Linked DNA regions of Saccharomyces cerevisiae S288C. The protein of the gene in region 2 interacts with the protein of the main gene of each other region in a biochemical or structural test. Each region holds a gene or a part of one and is shown on either strand. Other genes may lie near its edges. The genes, in order: LTP1, FPR3 and PTP1.

Evidence for each region.
Region 1: the proteins of FPR3 (region 2) and LTP1 form a complex in vitro, tested with the Saccharomyces cerevisiae proteins (one study listed by BioGRID).
Region 3: of the proteins of FPR3 (region 2) and PTP1, one has a biochemical effect on the other in vitro, tested with the Saccharomyces cerevisiae proteins (one study listed by BioGRID).

What each region holds. Positions count from the first base shown.
Region 1 is NC_001148.4:691,433-701,829, forward strand, and holds LTP1 (tyrosine protein phosphatase LTP1), read right to left. Parts: upstream 987-10,397; coding exon 501-986; downstream 1-500. Other genes in the region: CCR4-NOT core subunit NOT5, read left to right, coding at 1-357; transketolase TKL1, read right to left, coding at 1,364-3,406; OPY2 (Opy2p), read right to left, coding at 4,305-5,387; YPR078C (uncharacterized protein), read right to left, coding at 5,715-6,833; MRL1 (Mrl1p), read left to right, coding at 7,437-8,582; TEF1 (translation elongation factor EF-1 alpha), read left to right, coding at 9,162-10,397. UniProt on the Saccharomyces cerevisiae protein: Acts on tyrosine phosphorylated proteins, low-MW aryl phosphates and natural and synthetic acyl phosphates.
Region 2 is NC_001145.3:119,107-131,064, forward strand, and holds FPR3 (peptidylprolyl isomerase FPR3), read right to left. Parts: upstream 2,219-11,958; coding exon 983-2,218; downstream 1-982. Other genes in the region: 60S ribosomal protein eL6 RPL6A, read right to left, coding at 4,121-4,636, 5,052-5,066; TCB3 (Tcb3p), read right to left, coding at 5,624-10,261; Golgi transport complex subunit COG8, read right to left, coding at 10,643-11,958. UniProt on the Saccharomyces cerevisiae protein: Proline isomerase that belongs to an abundant class of enzymes that catalyze the cis-trans isomerization of X-Pro peptide bonds and can accelerate the refolding of proline-containing polypeptides. Specifically binds nuclear localization sequences.
Region 3 is NC_001136.10:39,076-44,207, forward strand, and holds PTP1 (tyrosine protein phosphatase PTP1), read left to right. Parts: upstream 1-3,624; coding exon 3,625-4,632; downstream 4,633-5,132. Other genes in the region: BRE4 (Bre4p), read right to left, coding at 1-3,169; Hsp70 family ATPase SSB1, read left to right, coding at 4,990-5,132. UniProt on the Saccharomyces cerevisiae protein: Is not required for vegetative growth.

The DNA.
Region 1 (10,397 bases), on a different chromosome or scaffold from region 2:
AATAAGTTCGGTAAAGATAGTAAAGCAAAATCTAAGAAAGATGATGATATCTATTCCAGAACCTCACTAGCCAGAATATTTATGAAATTTGATCTTGATACTTTATTTTTCATATTCTATCATTACCAAGGATCATATGAACAGTTTTTAGCTGCTAGAGAACTTTTTAAAAATAGAAACTGGCTATTCAACAAGGTAGATCGCTGCTGGTATTATAAAGAAATCGAAAAGTTACCACCAGGAATGGGCAAATCTGAGGAGGAATCATGGAGATACTTTGATTATAAAAAAAGTTGGTTAGCGAGACGTTGCGGTAACGACTTCGTATATAATGAAGAAGATTTCGAAAAACTGTAAACAGTTTCCTTTTACTTATATAATTCTCATCGTGATTTACTAGGTAAATGTAGTATTCAAAATCTCCAATTTGTACTCTTTAACTTCACCTTCACATATTATCTTTTTACTCGATGTAGACCGCACCATCATTACTTGCTAGCTTATAACTCTTTTTTTAAAAACTGTTTGGAGAAATAGGTGATTTGTTTGAAGTTGTACTCGAAATCTTGTATGTCACCATACCAAGGATCTTCAATAATGGTCTGCACAGTGCCATCATTAGTATTCCAATCACCAAAAAGGCAAACTTTAGCTTTAGAACCTTCAGGTTGTATTTTTTTTAGGTTATTAATGTTGGATTCATCCATACCGATTATATAGTCATATTCATCGAAGTGTTTGGTCTTTATTTGTTTCCCTTTATGATTAATCTTGACGCCATGTTGCTTACAAATGGACACTGTACGATGATCAGGGCTTTCCCCCACATGATAATTAGAAGTGCCAAATGAATCAATCTTGTTGAATCGATTTTCTAGATTAGCCTTTTCGACTTCATGTTTGAAAATGGCTTCCGCCATTGGTGATCTACAGAAGTTACCCAAACAAATGAATGCGACCGATATTTTTGGTTTTTCAATTGTCATTTTCGTGTTAACTTTCCCTTCTCAGTTTTCTATCGCTTATCAAAAATCACAGGGTTTCAATTAGCCTTTTAGGAGTTATATTCTTTATTGGCTTTATACTTGAATGGTGTGATTCTCTCGAAGGGTTTAACATTCAAGCTCGGCCATGTGCTGGTACAAGGAAAAAGAAAGAAAAAGTAATCATTGAAATTTTTCTATAATACGTACACCTATAATATAAGAAGGAAAAGGACTGAGTGTTTGGAATATTGTTAAAAGTTTGAAACTATTTTTTTGCTTAATCGTTTATAAAAAAAGTTGTATTTAAGTTGTATAAAGTTTTATTTCATTTTTTCACAAATAATATCATATCAAATCTGATGATCTACGATCAGAATTTAGAAAGCTTTTTTCAAAGGAGAAATTAGCTTGTCACCCTTATAGAATGCAATGGTCTTTTGAGCTCTTTCAGCAACACCTTCTGGGGTGAAACCGAAGAACTTGAAGACTTCTGGTGCCTTACCGGAGGCACCAAATCTGTCAATACCGAAGGATTGATGAGCGTATTTGCCCCAACATGTGGTAGCCAAAACTTCAACAGACATGATTGGAACGTTGTCTGGTAAGACTGATAGTCTGTATTCTAGGGGTTGTTTGTCAAAAGTGAAGAAATCTGGTAGAGAAACAACACGAGCCTTGATGTTCTTTGCGGCCAAAGTCTTAGCAGCTTCAACACTCAAAGACACTTCGGAACCAGTAGCCACTAAAATAATATCTGGGTTAGCAACATCTTGTAGTACGTAACCACCCTTAGAAGCGCTTTCAATAGAGCTACCTTCCAATTGTGGCAAGTTTTGTCTGGACAAAGCAATGATACTTGGAGTATGCTTGGATTCTAAAGAGTTCTTGTAGGCGGCAGAAACTTCGTTACCATCAGCTGGTCTCCAAACTTGAATGTTTGGTAGGGATCTGAAGTGTGCTAAAGTTTCAATAGGTTGATGTGTTGGACCATCTTCACCGACACCGATAGAGTCATGTGTAGCAACCCAAATAACTGGGTGGCCAGACAAAGCGGACAATCTAACGGCACCAGCAGCATAAGAAACGAAGTTCAAGAAAGTACCACCGTATGGTTTGTAGTTGGCACCGAAAGCTGAAATACCGTTCATTATGGCACCCATAGCGTGTTCTCTAATACCGTACCTAATGTATCTACCAGAGTAGTTACCTGAACCGGAAGAAGGAGGTTGGAAGTCAAGGGCTTCCTTCCATCTGGTCAAGTTAGAAGGTGTTAAATCGGCAGAACCACCAATCAACTCTGGCAATTGATTGTAAACATCCTCAAGAACAGTTTCTGATAATTTTCTAGTGGCCACGGCAGAGTCCTTGGCGGTGTAAGTTGGCAACTTAGATTCCCAATTTGCGGGTAGTTGGCCGCTCAATCTTCTAGCCAATTCAGCACCTAATTCTGGGAATTTCTTTTGGTATTCGCTGAACAACTTGTTCCACTTGTTGTTGGCTTCGACACCTGGCTTTAAAATTGTCTTTTGGTAGTGGTCGTAAACTTCTTGTGGAACAACAAAGGACTTGTCTGGGTTGAAACCGAATTTGCTCTTTAGTTGTTTAACATCATCTGCTTTCAATGGGGCACCGTGCACAGAGTGAGAGCCGGCATGCAAGGAACCGTAACCAATGGTTGTGGTCATTTTGATCAAAGTTGGTTTGTCCTTGGATAACTTAGCTTGAGCAATAGCCTTGGCAATACCGGCTAGATCTTCGTTACCATTTTCTACGTACAAAACTTCCCAACCGTAGGCTTCGTATCTCTTAGCAACATCTTCATCGAATGAGATACTGGTAGCACCATCGATAGTGATCTTGTTGTCATCGTAGATGGCAATCAAGTTACCCAATTTCAAATGACCAGCCAAGGAGGAAGCTTCTGAAGAAATACCTTCTTGCAAACAACCGTCACCCAAGAAAACATAGGTGTAGTTGTCAGACAAGGTAAAGCCCGGCTTGTTGTAAGTGGCAGCCAGGTTAGCTTGAGCCATGGCCATACCAACAGCGTTGGAGATACCTTGACCTAATGGACCGGTAGTAACTTCAACACCTGGCAACTCAAATTCAGGATGACCTGGTGTTCTGGAACCCAACTGTCTGAACTGTTTCAAGTCTTCAATAGACAGATCGTAACCAGTCAAATGTAGCATAGAATACAACAAAGCGACCGCGTGACCGTTAGACAAGACAAATCTATCTCTGTTGATCCAGTCTGGGTTGGTTGGGTTCATGCGCATTTGACTCCATAGAACGTGTGCAGCTGGTGCCATACCCAATGGAGCACCTGGGTGACCTGAGTTGGCCTTGGATACGGTGTCCACAGCCAAAATTCTTATGGTGGAGACGGCTAGCTTATCAATGTCAGTGAATTGAGTCATTTTGTTTGCTAAAGAGGTAACTATGTAGAGTTGCTTGGGATGAGCTTCCTTCTCTGTTGTACTTCAGTTTGATCTGAAACTTAAAAAACGAAATTTAAAAGGAAGACAACGGTGAGAACAAGAAATGAATGAATCAAGAAGTCACGATCAAGTATGTAGGTAAAAGATCAGGGGGGAGTATGTACGTAACCAAAAAGATTGGGAAAGAGTTTATATATGAATCATGCCTACGATCGTACCTTCTTGGCTTTCCCAAGAAAATTTTTCATCTCTCGAACTTCTCGAGAGATTGCGAACGGAACGGCAAACGCCGCCGGCATTTCTCGGAAAGAAGACTAGAAAATAAATGACGGTGGGAAAAAAAGCAAGAAGCTACGGTTACCCGCAGCGGCACTATAGTAGATGGGCTTTTAAGCCCGTTTTCAGGGTCAGGTAATATGTAATGTAGTAGCACTTAAACTTGCTAACCATAAATGACCAAAATGCAAGTTTGCTGTATTTTAGTCCCGTTGGCGTTTTCGGATGCTTCATTCCCCAGAGAAGTGATGTGTATGCGAAAAATGTCTCAATGCAGCTTTGGCTGCTGCGGAACTTATCCGCTTTGTAAGCACATCTTGTTTTAATGTGTATGAATTTTTATATTTGGTTCGAAAATTATGACATTCGGCCAAGAAACTTTCAGAGGAGCTGTGTATTAGCAGATGGTAAGCGCACGTTGAAAATGCTGAATATTATTAATTTAGACATACCTTGATGGCTGAACAGTAGTCAGAAAATTAAAAAAAAAAAAAAAGCGCTTATTACGGCGTATACACGTAACTATATAGACGTAGATCATTGAATATTGATATGATATAATATTTTCCCCGGGATTGCAGAATACTGACACGCCTTTTATTTATCGTTCATCGTGTATTTCGAACTTGTCCTCAAACGGGCTCTCAGTGCGACTGCCCTGGGTGCTCTCGCGTATCGATTCTGGAATTTCCAAGTCCAGTATAAAACTTCCTTCTTCATCGTCATCTTCGTCGTTATTACCATGGCTTGCCTCGCTTTTTGCCATGTGTGAAAGATCATCCGCCTCTGTCTGTTCTTCAATGACATCCAAGTCCTGAATCTCCTTATCACTCTCTTCCTCTGCGATTTGAACCAGTTTAGGTTTAGCACGAATAGCAGTTATGAGGTTATCGTCTGCGTCCTTATTGAGTACCTGGTTATGCTCGTCATCTTCGTCATCCAGACCATCCAAGATGGAAGAACCTAAGGTTATATGTGACCTGATATCACCAGCTGCATTTTGTCTCTTAGAGCTCGAGCGTAGTTTTGATTGCAGTTTGTCGGTACTCAAACCGCTTGTCACACCAGGAATGTAGGCAATAGGCAAAATATTAGAAGCCCTTGTACGAGTGGTAGATGCTGAACTTCTGTTTCCCGGCACGTTGAGAGTTGGAGGTACCAGTGACGTATTGAACAGGGTGTGACTTTCATCTTTTCTCATACCGCCATCATCCTCATCGTCTTCATCATCATCGTCTTCATCGTCGAAGTATTCCTCTTCATTCCCGTAACTTTGCGATGCCTCTTCCAATTTCAAAGCTTTATTTTTTTGCCTTTTGGGCTTCCAATATCTCTTGTTGATGAAATACAACGCCACCAAGGCAATAAGCATCGCACCACCTACAATACCCACGGTGAACCCCACAATCAACGAGGTTTTCTCATTTGAATTACTGGAACTAGAACTAGAGGAGGAGGAAGATAAACTACTCAGTTGTGAATCGGACTGTTTCGCACAGTATGTGGATGGGCACTTGTCACATGTTAATGAAGTCATAACACAATATTCTCCTGAAGCGCAAACAGGGCATGATGCAGTTGAATCGCAAACAACACATCCGTCGCTGCCTCTAGTTGCAGAAGTTGAAGAGGTGGCTGTGCTTGACAAGGATGAACTTGCAGAAGCCTTGGAGGAGCTCGACATTTTTTGTTTGATTTTCAGAAAACGAACGTAACCAGTTTGATAAATGTGGTGCCTCTCTTATTCGGCCTGGGAAGCAGTGCAACAATAGCGCACATTATAATCATTTGATTTTAAATTCACCCCAGGACAATGGGGCATTATTTTCTGTTGAGAGGGTAACGCGTTGTTTATTGAGAACTTAACGCGTTTCGATTTCAAGAATGCACTATAGTGCGGAAATGTAAACAGAATTTATTGATACTTGGCATTATTTGAATTTTATTTATATCTTGCCCGAACATGTCTTGACACAAGCAAGGAACGTTTGCTCATTAACCTTTTACACGGTTATGCTTGTACCAAAGGCTGATCACCTGGTTCGGGCACAAAACAGAGTTTAGTTTCCAACTGTGTTTCCTTTCCCGGATCAGATGATGGTAAGGGAACGGTAACGGCGTCTTCATCTTTACAAGGTTGGCCCTTCTTAAGATTTTGATGCTTTGTAGTCCATTTTTTGAATCTTCCTTGCAAAAGATAAATTTCCCTTCCCAAATTATTTCTAAGTGTGTCCCACACTCGTGGCACGTTTTCTTGATTTTTGTCGCCAAAATTAGCACTCTTATGGAAAATACGGAACATACCACCGCTGTTATTTTTAGAACTACTCTTTTCAGAGCCGAGCATATCAAGAGAAGTCCTGACATATCGGTATTTCAAAAGAGTCTTTTTATTCTCTTGCAAAGGAGGCCCGCTAATAATGCTTTCCGTATCATCAGTTACTAGCTCCTTTTTGATATTTTTCCCAAATGTGGGACTTATGGAGGTCTTCTCAGGTTCAGAAGCGGAGTGAATTTGGCAGGTTTCATCAATTTTAACTAATGTATCGTCATTTTCAAAATCGTCAGGTGTTAAGGGTGATATAATATTCAATCCATTCATAAAATCATCAATATCACTAAAATATGGTGTCTTGCCCCGTTCCATCAAGTCCTCTCCATATCCATATACTTTATCATCGTTTACCTCTTCCAGATTATTATCAGATGGTAGGGCTAATTTACTCTTATTTTTTCTAAACCACTTATTCAACCTCTGTCTCCAATCACGATCATAGCGGCCATGCAATTGAGAAAGACTCTTCAGCTGCGTATTTGAACTGCTTTCACTGTCAGAAAAATTCTTATTGGTTTTAAACCAGCCAGAACAAGATCGGAAAAAAGTATCACTTTCAGTAACTTCTTTAATCACTTTTTCCAGCCTGGCAATTTCTTGGTCAGTTTTATCGTGAATATGATCAACTCTGACACCTAATTGTGCAGTCTCATTGATTAACCTTCGTAAATCTTCGCTTTCAGTCAAATGCGTTGTTATTTCAGCTTCTTCGTCAAACTGGAAGGTTCGTTCATCATCAGACCTAAGCTCTGAGGGGCTTAATACTGTTGGTAAGACTCCAGAAATCGTTTGCATGATTGATATTTTATCTTTTTATATGATTTTGTTTTTTAGTTATACTTACGCTTGCTACCCTTACTTATGAAGTCAGTCTCTTTTGTTAGCTTTTATTACAACACTTATGAGAAATTTATAAAAAAATCCCAGGAATGCTTTCACAAATTATCCATTCTACATAAAATCTTTTTTTATAGTATTACTTTTTTGTGACATCAAAATGAAGCACTAAATAATTATAGAAAATATTCAGCAAAAAAAAAGAAAAACCTTCTTCTGAAAAAAAAAAAAAAAAATTCAAAAAAAGACACCTTTCTACCTTGGCAGTAAATTTCAAATTAATTATTTACCAAACTGTAGTTCCCGCTCACTAATCCTTTCTTATACTTATTCACATTACTGTCACTTTGCGGCTGTATTTGGCCGCGTTTCCCTTTCGGGTGCAGGTACAAGAGGTATCCGAAACAAGAAGGGTTAAGTTTTGAAGAAAATGCCAAGTATTTCAATTTCAATAATAAGAACGCAAAACTACAGGAGACTCTTACTAAGCATACTACTTCTCAAAAAAGGGCTTTATTTTATAGAACATAAAACATACTGTAGGATCGCACACTGGAAAATATGTTGAAACGATCATCTCTAATATATCTATCATGTGTCCTAATCATTACCATACCAATACTTTTGCATGTATACAATGGTCCAGGACTGTCCCATGAAGCCAATGAACATAGGGCTTCTCACAAGCAAAAAAGAACGTTAGCAAATCCGGATAAACCCAAAAGCGAAAACGATGAAGATCTATTTTGTGCGGTAACCAACCCAGTCACCGGATCATACATAGATCTATCACAGCTATCTTCAACTCCCAACAAATTAAGGGAGGGCCAAAAACAGATTTCTGGCAATAACAAGCATGAATCCTCCAAGACGAAGTGGTCAGTGAGAGGTTGGGGCTACGATACAAACTTCACGTTAGGCATCTGCTCTAGTCCTGTCGGAGAAGCTGAGTCGCAACAACTGTCCAATCTAACGGGCGCTTTTTACGTAGACCAGTTGAACGAAAATAATTTAGTATCGATTGGAGACTTCAGTACAAGGCCTGCGTTAGTCGGCGGCTCTACTGCCAAGAAATTAACTCTCAAATACGAAAACGGCTCTATGTGCCCGAACGGGAAGGACAAGAAGGCAACTTTATTGAATTTTGTCTGCGATAAAGAAATTCAATCAAAGGCCCAGATATCATACATTGGAAACCTACACAATTGCTCGTATTTCTTCGAAGTCCGCAGCATTCATGCGTGCCCCACCTCAAACAAAAAGAATGAAGTTAACGTTTTGGGTATCTTCATCGGTATCTTCGCTATATTCTTTTTAGTCGAATTTGCGGGGAGAAGATGGATCTATGCTAAACTAAATAGGCATTTGAAAAACGACGACGAGTTACACGACATATCGCCATCTTTAAATGAGCAACCACACTGGGACCTCATAGAGGACGGGTCTCGCTGGAGTAAATTTTTCAACGGGATAATTAAGACGACAAGAAGGTTCACGAAATCTTTAATGAGGTCTTTAGTCAGAGGCAGGAACAGCCGTCAAGGGGGCATAAGACTACGGTCATCCCCATCTGCCTCTTCGTCCAGCCTTGCCAACAGGGAGTTCTTCAGAGACATGGAGGCTCAAAACGAAATTATTGACAGCCTAGACATCAATAGTCATACAACAGAAAGCGACCACCCAACTTTGGCTGATAATAGCGTATAAACAATGCATACTTTGTACGTTCAAAATACAATGCAGTAGATATATTTATGCATATTACATATAATACATATCACATAGGAAGCAACAGGCGCGTTGGACTTTTAATTTTCGAGGACCGCGAATCCTTACATCACACCCAATCCCCCACAAGTGATCCCCCACACACCATAGCTTCAAAATGTTTCTACTCCTTTTTTACTCTTCCAGATTTTCTCGGACTCCGCGCATCGCCGTACCACTTCAAAACACCCAAGCACAGCATACTAAATTTCCCCTCTTTCTTCCTCTAGGGTGTCGTTAATTACCCGTACTAAAGGTTTGGAAAAGAAAAAAGAGACCGCCTCGTTTCTTTTTCTTCGTCGAAAAAGGCAATAAAAATTTTTATCACGTTTCTTTTTCTTGAAAATTTTTTTTTTTGATTTTTTTCTCTTTCGATGACCTCCCATTGATATTTAAGTTAATAAACGGTCTTCAATTTCTCAAGTTTCAGTTTCATTTTTCTTGTTCTATTACAACTTTTTTTACTTCTTGCTCATTAGAAAGAAAGCATAGCAATCTAATCTAAGTTTTAATTACAAAATGGGTAAAGAGAAGTCTCACATTAACGTTGTCGTTATCGGTCATGTCGATTCTGGTAAGTCTACCACTACCGGTCATTTGATTTACAAGTGTGGTGGTATTGACAAGAGAACCATCGAAAAGTTCGAAAAGGAAGCCGCTGAATTAGGTAAGGGTTCTTTCAAGTACGCTTGGGTTTTGGACAAGTTAAAGGCTGAAAGAGAAAGAGGTATCACTATCGATATTGCTTTGTGGAAGTTCGAAACTCCAAAGTACCAAGTTACCGTTATTGATGCTCCAGGTCACAGAGATTTCATCAAGAACATGATTACTGGTACTTCTCAAGCTGACTGTGCTATCTTGATTATTGCTGGTGGTGTCGGTGAATTCGAAGCCGGTATCTCTAAGGATGGTCAAACCAGAGAACACGCTTTGTTGGCTTTCACCTTGGGTGTTAGACAATTGATTGTTGCTGTCAACAAGATGGACTCCGTCAAATGGGACGAATCCAGATTCCAAGAAATTGTCAAGGAAACCTCCAACTTTATCAAGAAGGTTGGTTACAACCCAAAGACTGTTCCATTCGTCCCAATCTCTGGTTGGAACGGTGACAACATGATTGAAGCTACCACCAACGCTCCATGGTACAAGGGTTGGGAAAAGGAAACCAAGGCCGGTGTCGTCAAGGGTAAGACTTTGTTGGAAGCCATTGACGCCATTGAACAACCATCTAGACCAACTGACAAGCCATTGAGATTGCCATTGCAAGATGTTTACAAGATTGGTGGTATTGGTACTGTGCCAGTCGGTAGAGTTGAAACCGGTGTCATCAAGCCAGGTATGGTTGTTACTTTTGCCCCAGCTGGTGTTACCACTGAAGTCAAGTCCGTTGAAATGCATCACGAACAATTGGAACAAGGTGTTCCAGGTGACAACGTTGGTTTCAACGTCAAGAACGTTTCCGTTAAGGAAATCAGAAGAGGTAACGTCTGTGGTGACGCTAAGAACGATCCACCAAAGGGTTGCGCTTCTTTCAACGCTACCGTCATTGTTTTGAACCATCCAGGTCAAATCTCTGCTGGTTACTCTCCAGTTTTGGATTGTCACACTGCTCACATTGCTTGTAGATTCGACGAATTGTTGGAAAAGAACGACAGAAGATCTGGTAAGAAGTTGGAAGACCATCCAAAGTTCTTGAAGTCCGGTGACGCTGCTTTGGTCAAGTTCGTTCCATCTAAGCCAATGTGTGTTGAAGCT
Region 2 (11,958 bases):
AATCTTTGCCTGGATTTATCGAACAACAGCTTTTCATAGCCGAAAAGATACAGGAAAAATGAGGAAGAAACCGATGAATTGTTTTATAAGCTATCACCTAGCGATAATAATAGGTAAAGTAGAGATCCTATAGCTAGTACGGACCTTTCTTTCGGACGTTCTATAGAGTTTTAAACGAGCGGGCGTAGAGACTCGCACTACGTTTTCTTCGCACTACGCTGAGGTCTTCCAACTCTTCTCCAGAAGGCTTTTCTTTCCCTTAGTCCACCCGATAAAAATGGGGCCCTTTGAAATTCCGTTTTGTAGCTTAGTTTCTCGGACTTAAAGCATGTGCTCACCATACTACCATCACCCGAATGTACAGCCAACGCCACTTTAGTGGATAATAAGTCATGATAGTGGACGAACAATCGGGGTAAAAGGGGTTGGAAGAGAACGGCTGGAATCCATCAATCAGCAGCGTTTAACGGTTCTAATTTTCAGTTACAAGGATGATCAACGAGAGCCTTATTTCTAATGTTCCCTAATGTATATGTGTTCCGGCTACTGTTTAGCTGAAGAGCTGTGTCTAGCCTTCCTGGCGGTTATCGTTCACAGTCAGCTTGCGCTTTATTTCATTAACATCGAACTAAATACTAGAGGCCATAACCGCAATTACAGCTGCGGCGATAATCTAATTTAACGTCAATGTCTGAATTCTTATTGCTTTGAAGATTTCTTCACCTTTCTTGACGACCATCCAGTAGCACTCAGTGAAATAGGAACAGAAAGAAGATAACGCTTTTTTTGCCGCCATATATTTCTTTCTATACAACACAGCTTCTTTATTTGTATCATCCGCGGAGAAAAGTAAAATGAAAAGCTTATAAAGAGCAATAGATACTAAAAAGAAATAGAATGTTTTCGGATTTACATACAGAAGGTTACAATATTATGTAAAAAGAATAATATATATAAACATCTATCCGTACGAGCGCGTGTACTAGTTTTTCATAGAAACCAATTTAACGTCGAATGTCAGTTCGGAATTGGCAGGAATACCTGGCAGAGCTTGCTTCCCGTAGGCATATGGTGCTGGAATGATGATTCTACGTTCGCCACCAACAGACATACCGGCAACACCAATGTCCCAGCCTTTGATAACTTCACCACGGCCAAGTTTGAATGCAAATGGTTTACCGCTGGTGTTCTTGTCGAAAACTTTACCGTTCTTTAACTTACCAATGTACCTCATGCCTACTCTGGCACCTCTCTTAGCCTGTGGGCCATCACCGATAGTACGGTCTTCGATTACTATGCCGCCTTCCAAAACCTTACTCTTTGGTTTATGCTTATCTTGTTCCTTTTTGCTTTTGGGTTTTGTTGGACCCTCCTCTAAGTCCTTCTTGAATTCGACCTTCTTTACTTTTTTAGCTTTCTTTTCTTCTTCTTTCTCTTCGTGCTTTCTCTTTTTTTCCTTTTTGCTTTTCTTAGGTTCTGGCTTAACTTCTTCTTTTTGTTCTTCTTCTTCTTCTTCTTCTTGTTCTTCTTCTCCATCATTATCTTCTTCATCTTCTTCTTGGACTTCTTCAATACGAACTTCTTCTTCCTCTTCGTCATCCAAGTCGTCCATGTCGTCGCCAATAATTTCATCCTCATCTGGGGTCAAGTCGTAGTCTTCACTGTCATAGATGTCAGCGTCTTCATCTTCGTCTTCACCTTCGACTCCCATTGGAGTATCAAATGGATGCTTAACATAGTTACCGCTCAAGGAGATAGCGTAAGAACCAGTGACAATGAATTGGACTTCTTCTTCTGGAGTAATGGTCAAGTCCAAAGATTGTTGGTATTGGGCTTCCGGAGATAAAGTCAAAAGGACGGATTCTTGGAACTCATCGTCCTCGTCATCGTCTTCTTCATCATCCTCACTTTCACTTTCAGCCTTCTTGCCTTTACTCTTCTTTTTCTTTTGGGTTTTTTCCTCTTCTTCTTCCTCAGAGGATTCTTCGTCTATTTCGTCTTCATCAAAATCACCACCTAAAAAATCATCATCTTCAAAGTCCGGGTTTCTTTTGATAATTCTTAAAGTCGATGGTTTGTTCTCTTCATCGATGGCTTCCGGGTTCAAAGCAGCCATAGTAATACGAACGGTGATGGGCATCGTGACGTCGATTGCTGGAACCGGGGTATAAGGTTCAACATTCAAACTGTAGGTAGCTAGTGGTAACAAATCAGACATATTGGGCTGGTTGGATGCTTGCTTTCAATTATGTATGAACTTTCACACAATTATGTATTATATAGAAACGTGTTAGTAGGCTCTTTTTTCGAATTTAAAAATTTTACCTTCACTTTTAAATTTTGCCGTCCTTTAGGAATGACGACAGTCCGTAGAGGGCTGAAAATTGAACAGCGAGCTAATACTAGTGGATTCTAATCAATGGAACATGAAGCATGTATCATAATCTCTGTTCTTGCCGGTTTTGACTATATAGATGTAGATGCAATCCAGATTTTAGTGAAAGGTAGAGGAAGCAAGCCAGTTGAAAAAGGTAGAAAGTATGCGATGTGTCATATACATTTGGCATATTCTCCCCATAATATCATGAACAGGTGATAGTAGAATGTTTGGAGCATTGATGACAGATTATTTCCAAAAGAAGTTTGATTGTGCGATCGCTCTCTTTTATGTTCTTTGATGCATTTTTGTACAATATATTAAAGTAACAAATCGGCGAAAGAACGTCAGTAATGTGTCGTTGCCAACCGTAAAGTGCTCGATGATTAATTTCACAATACATTTCAACCAAAGTGTTTTCATTCAAATACTGGCACAAAGGTTTGTTTTTCTAAGTGCCTATGGTGTGCGATAAAATGTTTTTGATGGAACACAGTTCATTGCTCAGAAAATACGCCATTTATCTATTTGTGTCGTTCTTCCTTCCAAGAATTACAAGAATTTTATTTTTTATTCAATGCTCAATCGTCTGCTCAAGGACTTCTGGTAAGTTACGTTAAATAATAGCTATGGCGCTTTTCTCATTTCTATAATGCAGAGTTGGTGGCTATAACCGTATTATCGATGTTATTACCGTTCGAATATATGTAAGCTTAACATTGCCGCATTAGTTTTGCTTGAAGATGCTCTGTCCATATTTTGTTAACCCGTCTTAGAATTGATCATTGCTTGCTTTAAATAATGAAGATCTTTTGACGAAGCCAATGACTATGCTGTCTTCAACTTTTGGCAGTAAAGCCAATTCTGTGAGAACTCGCGGGGAAACTCCAAAGCACACTTAGAGAATAAAAATACATGGAGTCGAAGCATGACTCGGATGATTTCTAACGTCCTGACATTTACTCGAAAGTATTTCACTACCAGTGGGGTAAAGGACAATATCGACGTCCGTTGGCTATGTTGGTAACTGAGATGAAGTTGTAACAAATTCCTGCAGGATGCTTTTACACTCACCGGTTGCATTTTCCTCATTTCATAGATAACAAAGTAAACAGAGCGCATTTTTTGGAGTATTTTATACGTCAATGCGACTTTGATACCTGAAATCCCCTTAATATTGGTAGGAACATTGGGCTCAAGCGATGCATTTTCTCTTGCATTTTGTTTCTCACTATTTGTCTTTTCTACTTTCAATTTTCTTATCTTTGTTCTATTCCCGTTCCTGTTCTATTCCCGTTTTATTTGCTGTGAGCAGGCCTTGTTATTGCCAACGTTTAAAACCATTTACTTTTTGTTTAAAAATCTCTCTTCTATTTCCACATCTCACCTAAAACAACGATCATTATATAACATGAGGTGTATTGTTTTTCCTCACCATACGATCAAATATAACATCACAAAGCTTACAGCAGAGCGACACTTTTTTGCTTAACAATTTGTATTTTGTATGATGCATCCAAGTCTTGCGCCAAGAAAGTCTACATTATAGGAAAGATCAAAGGAACTTGAAATAATGTATTCCTTTTTCTTTTCACGCCCTTTCTCTGGGTGATTGCCGCAATGAAGATATAAATATGCGAATAAAAAACCAATGCTCAATACAAATGCACTTATGAAACTGTAGTTAAATTATAATTTTACCTGCATATATATTATTATAGAAGTTCGTTAAAATAATTATATTTAAAATTTCAACATGTGTGGCTTGTCACCGTTCTTCAAAGAGAAAGAAGCAGACAAGTATTGCTTCAATAATGGAGTCTTCTTGATTTCAGCAATCAAAGCCTTGTCGACAACCTTTTGGTCTTCAACACGTTCAGCCTTGATTTCCTTGTTTTGTTGTTCTGGGAACAAGTTAGCTTCCTTCTTTTCCTTCTTAGTCAATTTTTCCTTAGCAAAGTATTCGACATTGAATTTTTCAACGTTGACACCTTCGACAGAAACCTTAGTAGAGGTAGCAATGACGTAACGAGCATTGACTCTTCTCAAAGGAACACCATTGACCTTGAATGGACCAGAAATCAACAAAGTGTTGTCTTCTAGATGCTTCAAGTAAACAACTCTCTTACCTCTGAAACGACCAGCTAGTAAGATCAAGACGGTACCTGGAACTAGAGAGGCACGCAACTTTTGTGGGCGAGCAGCCTTTCTGGTCTTCTTTAGAGCAGCGACGTCTTCGGATGGATACCACTTTGGAGCCTAAATGGAAAAAAGAAATATCAAACGACTAATGTTAGTATTCTTGATTTGCGAATGGTGATAAATTTTTATAGGGAGAGATTATGCCTAGCGATTTGAAACTGTAACGTGGGCCTTTGTTTGGAAACTAAATAATCATGAGCTAGGGTCGATATACCTTATTGCTTTGCTCACCTTCTCACTCATAGTATTAACATTGTGTTGAAAGGTATACTGCCTTAATCATTTATCCTCACTGTACACTGTATAACGTCATTTATCAGTTTTCATTGTATTATTTTGTTCGACGTCCTGATCTTATTGTTTCTTGTATGGATATGTCTGAGATTGATGGCATCATATCAAATTTCAAAACTTATGCCTTCGTGAATGTAAATTGACATCTCCCCCTCGAAATTAACATGTAGGAACATACTTTTTGGGCACTCATTTCGTTGGATGGCTATTACTTTGTTGTTTCGCCTAATGTAAAACTGATATTCAATCTTTAATGAGTAGTACATTTAATCTATTCATGTAACCCTTCCATTCGATAACCTCCATACCAACGAAATTTTGCAAAAGGAACAAAGCACACTCCAGTGGGAAACTGGACAAATCCGGTGAGTCCTCCCAGACGGGAAACGTGTCTCTCGCTTCTGTTGTCCGCCCAGCGGAGAAGCCCTCTCCAGAACGCTTTAGCCGCAACCGCAATGGTCTAGGCGGGCCGCTTTTCGAATCTGGTTAAGGAAAAAACTGAAGAAAAATATAACAAATCCATACATTTTAATAATGTACGGATTTAATAGCAGTCTTCACATTTCTTTCTTCTCCCTAAGCAGTAACAGGAGAGCGTTGAAATATGTTGTAATATATGTTGTAATATATTATAGTAAATATAACGTTATATAATAATAGCGCAAAATTATAACAAACACAGAAAAGACACCTGTTAACACACCAAATGTGCCCTTATTGAGCGTATAAAAGAATAGTTTTCACTGTTTATTACTGCGTGTATTCTTGAGGAACTTCTGGCACGGGAGGTACCTGACCATTCTTGTCTTTACCGTAATTAATCTTTACAATCAGATGACCGTCTCCTAATTTTACAGAAATTTGGCCATCTTGTTGAATTTGAGGGTCACCCAAGTTGATTTGAGCAATACCAAGATCTTTGTCCCTCGATAGTCTTTGATGGGAAATTGCACCCAGTACCAAATTGGCTTCGGGAGAAGCCTTGAACGAGCACTCTTCATCAAATACGGCAACACCATCATTATTGGCTTTTTGGCTTTTCGTTTTGTATATGTGTTTTAGTCTACCACCTTGAGTTAAAGAGATCTTAATTTGAACATGCTTGGCAACGTTTTCCGCAGCAACCACGGTAATAAAACCATTGTAAGTGCCATGAGGAGCTAAAGTACGCGCAAAACTGCTTGCACGAGAATGTCCTCTAGAGTTGCTACTAGGGGTATCTTTTTTGTTGCTTGAGCTAGAAGTGTTGTCAGTTGGCTTGACTACAGGAGATGCGCTTTGAACGGGCGCGTAACTTGTGTTAGGTACTGATGGATCATAGTCTAGTGAAGCTCTTGGTGTTACACTAGTGCTATTCAAATTACTTGGGGATCTCCTATCAAAAGATTTTTTCTCTGATGATTTTTTTGCACCGTTGGACTCATTTCCATTGCTGCTCTTGCTTCTTTTCATTGGATTGCCACCTAGAGATTTTAGAAGGTGACCACCTTTCTTTAAACCACCAGTGGCAACTCCTGTTGCTGCTCCTATACCAGTACCAGCTATGCCAACAGTTGCATGGGCTGCACCACTGGCTATTTTCATCGGCTTATCAGTGATACCGCCTTTCACGATATCAAAACTTGGCTTGATATATTCTGGGTTGAATGAACCTTGTAATTTGATACTTCCTTGTGTGTTTAAATTCAAATTCCAGTTGTAAGTTTTACCAACTTCTAATGAGGAAACGTCAAGTGAAGCTTGGCCTAAGTCGTCATTATCACCTGCACGATCCCAATCAAGAACATTAAATATGACTTGATTCTTACTTCTTGAAAGGATTGGTATTTTAGCATCTTCGTTCCATACGGGATCCAATGTTTTCTTTTTAATGTTCGATTTGAAAACTTTTTTATCATTGACAAAGATGTGAACAAATGGATCTGAATAGCCATTCCTATCTGCGGACTTCAGACCGTGTCCGGAAATAAGCTTTATATTCAAATAACCAGTGTCTTCAACACTTTCACTGCTAGGCAGTTTCACGCTAGTGGGCGTGTACAAAAATCTTACCTTCATTTTAGACCCATTGAAGTTTAACCACATGGGCTCTTCGTAAGCTTGCTTTAGTAGCTTCAATGTACTATAGGAAGTTTCGGATATGACATCATCTGAATCTTTGGCAATATGTTTCTTCGATACTCTAAAATGTAGTTTACTGTAATTCAAATCTCTAATGAAAATATTTGCCATCTCCGAGTTTAGTTTACCTTGAGATGGTTTCATGCAAATGAATACAGGGTACGAAATGTCATCCGCTAAGATTTCTAGGTAAGCAGAGGATGGGCTCAAAGTCCCTTCCAATATTTGCATAGACAAAATACCAGATTTTTGCTTGATCAACTCGTTTAAAGATAACTTGGCCTTCCTGTTTATTTTTTTTTCATCGCTGTCAAATGGGTCTTCGATCTCGGCAACTTCCCATTCCTTTGGATTTTTTTCCATCTCTTGCTCGTTTTCTTCTTGGGTAGCTTCGAATTTTTTCTTCTTTTCCTTCAACTCCTTTTCTAGTTTCTCAACATTCACCAACTCCTCAGGGGAATACACCAGATTGATTGGGATAAATGTTGTTGAAACATTGACAATGCTTTCGGTAACTTTGTGTTCGTGGTCTTTTAATTTTAGTTTTGAAATTTCTTCTTTGCCATTATTCCCAACATATTTTCCTGATTTAGGATCTTTTTTGAAAACATTTGATGTAGGAATTTGTACAGAGCCAATGAAACGGTCTTTGCCGATCTTTTGATAATCATGAAATTCGAGAGTCAAAATTTGATTTGGAGAGAAGATAGGAACGTAGGTGCTGTTGTCAAAAATGGGATGATCCGTATCAGAATGATATATGGACTTGTAAAGAACACGTCTATTCAACGATACGGTGTAATATGGATCAACATCCCCTACACCGGATAAGTCACCCTTGATAATGGCATCCTTAACGTCTAGCTTAATACAACCAATAGGTTCGCTTACAGAGTTTGCAGCGGCAAAAGCTCCGGTCATTTCAATTGATTTCCAAGAAACATCCAAATAAATGTCACCTTGTGGTGAGCCTTTAACAAACTCTTGAGCAGTGTCTAAAGTAGTCATTATATCATCTAAAGAAGATGAATACTCACAGATCAGCGCCTTACCATTCATTCTGTCATCGAATATTTTTAGGACAAACTTAGAGTTAGATTTTGATGGAACCAAAACTTCGATGGTCTCATTCCAAGATGGCTCATTGATACGTCTCAAAGTTCTATAGCTCTTTACTTTTTGTCCATCAATGAATAATTCAGCACATGGGCTCAAGCTACCGGTCATAGAACTGGTTGTATCCAGATATTTGACCTTTTGTAAAGTGATCTTGGCAATCCCGACATCAGTTTGAGAACTTTCTTCATTCTCGTCTTCTTCTTTTTCAGTAGTGTCCTCGTTTTCATCTTCTTTCTTGCCCTTGGCCTTAGCTTCGGCACGCTCAACTGCTTTTTCCTCTGATTTATCTTCTTTCACAGGGAACCAGTGTAAGGAATAATGTAAAATACCTTTTGATTTTGTACCGGATCTTAATTCAGCAGTTTGATTATCCAAAACAGGGTTTTGTAGTAAATCTGCCAAGTCAAGTTGAAGATCACCAATTACGGTATCTTTTCTTACATCATTGAAGTCAAAGCACTTTAAGTTTAACTTTTGCTCTAAGGTGTTTAATAATAGATATTTGGTTTCGTTCCAACGTGGATTTTTAACATTTGATTTGATAGATGTACGCACTTCTTCATCTGTACCAGGCACAGCATCTTCGGTAGTCATAACAATATAAGGATCGACAGTATTGGTAATGAAATCTGAGCCTTTCAAAGAGTCGGCAGAAGCAATGGTTACGGCAAGGACACCAATAGCTTCTTTTGATTGAGCAGCCATAATGTCTTCAACATTAATATCCAAATGGTTCGGAGGGAATAGCATAGGCCCTATATTGGAGTTGATAATGTTTTTAACAAAACTCTTCAAACCAGGCAAGAATGACATAACATCAAGACCTAAAGTATCACCACCAATTGGTTTCAGTGCGAAATCAATCAAAGGTGGTTCTAAAAGTTGTAAAGAAACAATTTTGATATTTGGGAAAGCTTTACCAAATTCAACTTTAATACGCATTTTACCAGCAACGTTAATGTCTTCAACCAAAATAGGCATTGTTTTAGAGACAAAACTTTTTCCTAACGTGACACCCAGAGATATTTTTGGATTGATCTTCTCCCTAGCTTCAGTAGCTGTCATATCCGAGACATCGCTTGGGGTGAATGCAAATGACCAATCCATTTCAACAGTGTTTTTACCAGTCTTGGTGTACGATTTAATACCTTTTATGGTGGGAGCTTTAGAGCCCAGAGTGAATTCATCGATAGCTAACGCATCGATACCGTAACCTGGAGCAACACCTGCCAGTTGAGGGTTAACGTTATCTTTGACTTGTTGAGATAAAACTGGCATGTAAATCACCCAAAATTTTGATAAAAATGAATTCAACCACGTAGTGGATTCAACGCGATCCGACAAGGTTTCTTCGACTGTAACTCTTTTCAAGTCATCTCTGATATTTCTGTTGAATCTTGTATATTCTGCGTTGTAAACGGTCGCAGTTCCCAAGAAGATAAATATCATAGACCACCATGAAAACCCAATGTAAGCAAATAACCATGAGAAGAAACAAGTTCCAAGAACGGTGGCTATATTACAGTACCAATCGTTATAAAAATTTTCCAGAATGTAAGCTTTTATAACCCTGGACATCTTTGTATTTGGCGAACCCTTTCCTGAAGCATGGAACTCACCAACATTTTGCCATGGAAATAACTTGTCGTCGGAATCTAGGTGAAATTTTTCCTTAATATCCTTTTCATCAAGTTTGCCTAAGTCGTCTAAGACGCCAGGCTTAGTAATCGAAGTGTCGAATTTATTTGGCTTCCTAGATGGTGCTGATCTGAATTCCTTCGGACGTAAACCTTCCAATGGCACGGCTCCTATGCTTCCCTGTGGGTTGGGACCGGGCAATTGATTGGTTTTTTGAGCGCTGGAGGCAACAAATATGTCTTTTGATGACTGTTTCTTACCTTCCGGGTTGGAGTCAGCAGTTTTCTGACCTTTAGACACATCAGAAACTGAATTTGAGGTCTTTGTGTCATTTGCGTCATGGTTAATCAGTTGGTGGTATTGATGGTGACCCGATGGAGCGTGATCAGAACCCCTTTCTTGTTGATTTATGACCTTTTGAGGTAAATTGCCTCCTACTTTCTTCTTCTCCTCCTCATGAAATAGGGTACTATCAGGTGGGGGATGGACTTGAGCTTTGATGCCAGTCATTTTTCTTGACTTTCAATGCGTAGCTCTACTTATTTTCTTTCTAGCAATATTGCGTATGTCAATAAACAAAGCTAGCTAATGATGCTCTTTATATTGTTAAGAAGAAAACTGATTAAATTAAGTAACGCTAAAAAGCAAAGTTGTCTATCAAAGTGAAATGTATCGCAATTGGAAAAGGTAAGTGCAATTCTAAAGGATGTAAGGTACAATTATCCCTTTTTCCCTTTCTGACTGCAGCAGTGTGTTGTAAAGGTATACATACATTCTCGTATTGTTGTTTCTCCCCCTTCTCGCGCTGGCGAAGAAGTGAAAAAAAAAAATAAAAAAATGGAAATTTCGGACGATCGTCATTTTGAAAATACATAGTGAGCCAATATTATACTAGGAGTATATATATTTAGAGGCCAGTTCTGCTCTCTTGTCAATTGCCCGGGCGAGCTGCTCGGTCGTAAACAAGCTAGTGTCATTGATTTTTTTTAGGAAGAGGTGGTGGTAGTTTCGATTCAGGTCGCAAAGACGGAATGAACAGTACACCAACTGCAGGCAAACGGAGTCACTCAGCTTGATGCTATTTAACCCACGAGTGAGGTCTTTTAATACGTATGTTATGCACTTATCAACGAATTGCAACATGACTGCATTTGTAGGTATTTTGTTTTCCCTTTTTGAAGTCCGAATCTTTTTGCTTGGCTCCTCTGGGGTCACTTCAACCTTATTAATTTCTTCTTCTTCTTTTTCTGCCTTGTTATCTATGCTTTTGCTTGGCTCTTCTGGGGTCACCTCAACCTTATTAATTTCTTCTTCCTCTTTTTCTGCCTTGTTATCTTTGGTATTTACTTCTTCCTCTTTTTCTTTTTCAGCCTTGTCTTCTGTTTTGTTTACTGTTTCATTTTCTATCTCATTTTCTGTTTTCCTTTCTGCTCCATCATCTTCGCCTTCCACTTTGCCTTGTACTTCCTCTTGTACATCTTCTATCGATTTATTTTCTGTCACATCTTCTTCATTGTTCGCTACGCTATCTTGTTTTTGATATTCTTCCTTCTTTGTTTCTTTCTCCTTTTCTTCAATTTCTTTCTCTTCGTTAGTCCCATTTATCCTTAGCACAGTACTTTCTAGTTCCTCTGGGAAAGGAATCTCTAAGTCATTTGTATCATACAAGAAGCTTTTCAGAAAGACATTCAAGGACATGTAGACATGTTCCCTGAGGACTTCAATTTTCCTCTTAACCATCATTTCAATTAAAGATTCATTAGAAGACTCAACGTCCAAAGGATATGATGCTATTTCATCGGTAATGAATTTGTATCTCATGGCTAAAAACACACTTAATAATGATTTATTAGTCTTTCCATCAAATGGTGGAATTGAATTCAAGTACTGTAGTATTTTCTTTAGTGAGTTTACTGATACATTAGTAGACAGTAATTTTACCAGCCCGGATAACATGGTAGTACTAATTTCGTTTAAAACTTTTTCGCAAACTTCATCCACAATGGTTGAACCAGGGAATCTTGACCTCAGGGAAGTAGTGTGTGTGTATAGCATGACGGCCTCCTGGTAATGACCTGTTCTGATACATGTGCGGGCCAAAAATGGTAGTTCCATCAAATCCGTAATGCTATCCAAATTTTCTAGTACAGTGACTAATGTGTCAGATCTAATGTCGTCCTTGTCATCTTCTTTAGTTGAAATTCTGT
Region 3 (5,132 bases), on a different chromosome or scaffold from region 2:
TGAATAGGTTCTTCTCCATAGAATTGCCTCCTGAATTTAAATTCGAATGTGATTGGTCCTTCATTTCACTAAATTTCTTGATGAAGTGGTAAAGTTTTTTACGTGACATAATTGGATTTGGCAAGTATCGCGGTATCTTGTTTTTTGATCTGAAACAATTGGATAAAATGTAAAAAACGAAAATCACTGATGAGACACTATCTCTTCGTAGCGATAGTAAGGCTCTCGTGGTTTCAATATCAAAATCCTGATCCCAAATTTCAAAAAATGCACCTGAAATTCTCGCTTCAATGATCTTAGATAACAAAAATTGGCATGAATTGATTAGACTTGCGTACTTCTCAGGATTGAAGTTGGAAATAATGATTGGCTCATGACGGGCTTTCTTCAAAAGTTCCCTGATTGCTTCAAGACTTTGAGTCAGTCTAACTTCACGAATGTGGGAAAATGCGAAAGTTAAATCAGTAGGTGCGTCGTCGGCATCCCTGTATAAATACCGGTCCGCCACGGTTTGGTAGGACTGGCCCAAGTGTGCCAGTAATGATGACATACTATCTCTTAGTTCTGTCCTAGCTCTAAAGGGCCACACTATCCAGTTGATGGGAATCGAAACCAAAATACCGATAATAAGTGCCAAGCCTGTAACCCACGTAGATTTCCATATTCCAGCGGTGGTTAAGTTATAATGTCTATTAGGTTTGCTGTATGGTTCAAGAGCAATTATGGTAAAGCACATTAATGCAGTGAAGCTCGATTTGGTGTTTCTATAGACAAGAAAGTTGATGCTAAATGGGACCACGATCAGACCAGCAAACGTGCAAACCACGTATGGACTACCAAAATGTCTCGATTGGTTGGCAGCCCACCCCCAAAAGATACCTACTATACCACAGATTAATCTCCTCATTACCAACGCCCAGTTACCAGAGTATCTTCTATGTGCTAATAAGTAAAACGTGAGTGGGGCCCACCAACAATGAAATTCTTGGTACCAGTGATAGGATTCAGGTAGCCAAGTTGGTAGACACAAAAATATCATACAAAAAGTAATCTTTAGTGTCCACTTACATTCATCACCAGATAAAATTCTACTCAATTTCCATAGTTTAAATCTCCAAGGATTTTGAGTTGTATGAAAATTGAAGTCGTTGTGATCAATTGCTCTGATGGAAATAGTGTGGTTTTTGCGATTCTGTGACTTTTCGTCACCACCTTGTGAATCAAGTCTCAGCGCTTCTTCTTCGCCTTTGTTATACTTGTGTCTTGACGTGTAGGTGTTATAAACTCTTTCAAAAATTTCATCGACATCACGTTTGGCCTCAAAATAATGAAGAACATTTCCTGCACCTTCATCGAGAACACATTGTTTGGGCAATCTTGTCAACGCACGAGACAGTGGATATGATGGCAGAGCAATTCTCCAGTGAATATTCTCACCCAAAACTTGGCAATCGTGGATAACAGTAACTAGCTGCCTTGCGGAGTTTCTCAAATATCTTAGAAAAAGGAAAATATCGACAGACTCTTCGTCATTCAACAGTTCCTGTGAAAAAAAACTAGAATTCACAAAATCCCTGTAACAAACATCTAGTTTGTAAATTTTCCTCTTTAATTTAGAATGCGAGTGACTTAATATTTTGACACACTCATCTAAGTTGTTTTTTTGATTTGGAGACTCGTATTTCTTTAGTACTCTTGATAGATTTTCCAAAACGAAGATCATTTCCAGTATTAAGTTGAAGATGCTTTTCGAGAAGGACGCCTTTAATGCATTAATGTAGATTTCATTTTTTAAAAGCCCCGGACCGATAGGCTTAAAGGCACTGGGCGTGTTTTCTCTTGTTGGAATTCCTGAAGATTGAGGGCTAGCGCTTGCTTCTTTGCTCAGGGTCGCAGAATCCGATCTATACTTCTCCAATTCTTCATACATCTTTTTCAATTCATCATCATTAAAAATTTTGGGTGCAATGGGTAATACTCTCAGAGAAGTTTCCATGGCAGTTAAAGAATTTCTTAAACTCTTCAACGATTGAAGGTCAAACCTGGAAATTGTCAACTGATTTACAAAATCTCTAAAACCTTGAGATAAATCAATGTTTAGTGTTTTCACCATTTTTACTTGGGCTAGGTAAATTTGTTCTTTGGACTTTATTAATTCAGTATCTACTAGTGCCATTAAAAAGGTCTTTGTGGTCTGTAGACACTTGTTATAATGTTCCATTAACTCTGCATTGCCACTATGTGGTGATACACATACACAAACCAAGAGAGATAGCAAAAGGCCGAAGAGATATGAGATTCCAAAATCCCAAAAAATTTGCCACTTCAAATCAAACTTGGATGAGGCCAACCGAACTGTATGAGTGAATATAATCGATATCGAAAACGAAGTTGTGAAATAGAAGAACCGACGGTAAACAGACCTTAGCCAGATGGCAAATAAGAGGGCCATAGTCAGACTCTGAAATAAAATTCCTCCCTGGTAGTTTGCGGTCGGCTTTGTCGCTGTGGAAATGTACCATGCCAAAGCCGACCATCCCAGGCCAAAACTTGCGCCGATAATGGAGCTTATAGTCATTTCCAGTTGAACACCAATATTTCTGACCGGATGATGTATAAGTACTGCGATGGGTAGAAAATACCTGAACTCATGGCCAATCCACCTACCAGAAGGCCTGATAACGCAAATCACGATAGCAATGAAATAAGCAATAAAAAACTTGAATATGGATACCCCATTTTTTCTAATATCTCTAGGGAAATGAATAATGGGCCTGTAGATAGCAGTCCAAACATATTCGGAAAGCTTGGTAAAACCAGATTGCAGTTTTTTCCTTGCAGCGCCATTGTCGTCATCGATGTCGCTGTTAGGAGACCTAGCTTTGCTGTCCGGCTTGGTAAAAGCAGCATCAAAAAACCCATCTCTCAGCTCTTCCAGCCCAAAGTCCTCTACTTCCTCCCAGTGTTTGTCCTTAACCAAATTTTCCAGCCGCATTTGCGATAAGGATGCCACGGATTGTTGTGGGCTTCCTGCAAAGCTAAGCCCGCTTATACCGGCAGGATTCTTATAGTTAAGTTCATGTAGTGACCTGAGTGATGTTTGAGAGTATGAACCTTTCACAATATCAGGATCAGGAGTGGGACTTCGATCTCGCTCATATCTTTTCATGAGGACCTGTTACAATTCCAGCACTATACTGTACATGCTTTCCTTAGTGGAGCACAAAGCAAGTTAAAAATGAACTTTAAATTGATTAAAGTGTTAGTGACGCTTAAACTCGTTTTCCTGCGCGTATTTCACGCAATCTATACATAATCATCTTTGATAATGTTATATCGCCTTTCATTTCCAGATTTTGTTCACTGAAAAGTCTTATCGGAAACCTAACTTTGGGCGACAGGGTTATTGTTTATAATTTGTAGGTGTTCCATTTTTTTCTTTGTACTTTTTTAGGTTAACGTAATATTTAATTAGGTCATTTTTAGGGCGTTTAGTATTAGAAAAATTCATTTGTACACACTATTAAGAGGAAGGCAAACTATATTTACATTTTATTGAGGAAAAGGGTTCATCGAGGAGTTATCAAGAAAAGCGTTTGTTAGTAGTAGTTTGCGACAGTGGAGATGGCAGCTGCACCATGGTATATTAGACAGCGTGACACGGATTTATTGGGTAAATTCAAGTTCATACAGAATCAAGAAGACGGCAGATTAAGGGAAGCTACAAACGGAACGGTGAATTCACGATGGTCGTTGGGGGTCAGCATAGAACCTCGTAACGATGCTAGAAACAGATACGTTAACATTATGCCGTATGAGAGGAACCGCGTTCATTTGAAGACTCTATCCGGGAATGATTACATTAATGCCTCGTATGTCAAAGTGAACGTGCCAGGGCAGAGCATCGAACCGGGCTACTATATTGCTACTCAAGGTCCCACGCGTAAAACTTGGGATCAGTTTTGGCAAATGTGCTATCACAATTGTCCTTTAGACAATATTGTCATTGTGATGGTCACGCCTCTGGTAGAATACAATAGGGAGAAGTGCTACCAGTACTGGCCTCGCGGTGGTGTAGACGATACGGTTAGAATAGCATCAAAATGGGAAAGTCCGGGCGGCGCCAATGATATGACTCAATTTCCCTCTGATTTGAAAATAGAGTTTGTTAACGTACATAAGGTGAAGGACTATTATACGGTCACCGATATCAAACTCACACCCACGGACCCTCTTGTAGGACCTGTCAAAACTGTTCACCACTTTTACTTCGACCTTTGGAAAGATATGAACAAGCCAGAGGAAGTAGTACCCATAATGGAATTATGCGCTCACTCCCACAGCTTGAATTCCCGCGGGAACCCCATTATCGTACACTGTTCCGCAGGCGTGGGCAGAACGGGGACGTTCATTGCCCTAGATCATCTCATGCATGATACCTTGGATTTTAAAAATATTACAGAACGGTCAAGGCATTCAGACAGGGCTACAGAGGAGTACACACGGGACTTGATCGAACAGATCGTGTTACAGTTGCGCTCGCAAAGAATGAAAATGGTTCAGACAAAGGATCAGTTCCTATTTATCTACCATGCTGCCAAGTATCTTAACAGTCTTTCCGTGAACCAATAGACAGCTATATAAAAGTTCCTAATTGTGCATTTTTTCAATAACAATACTTATTCATCCTTATAATTATATTCTAGCTTCGTTGTCATGGGAACATAGCCCATACACCGCAGTTATTTATGATCATTTCGAACGGGAAGTATGGATGAATCTTTTTTTTTTTTTTTTTATAGCACGCAACTGAAAAAAAAAAAAAGAAAAATTTTTCATCTTCGCTCGACGTTTCTTTTGTAGTACTCATCTCTTTTTATATAAAGATTAATTAGTTATTGTCGCTTTGCTTTTCCTTCTTTAAAAAATGTTTCTTGCTTTTGGATTTTCAGATGTCCCAAGATCATTACAGTATTTTAATTGAACAAAATGGCTGAAGGTGTTTTCCAAGGTGCTATCGGTATCGATTTAGGTACAACCTACTCTTGTGTTGCTACTTACGAATCCTCCGTTGAAATTATTGCCAACGAACAAGGTAACAGAGTCACCCCATCTTTCGTTGCTTTCACTCC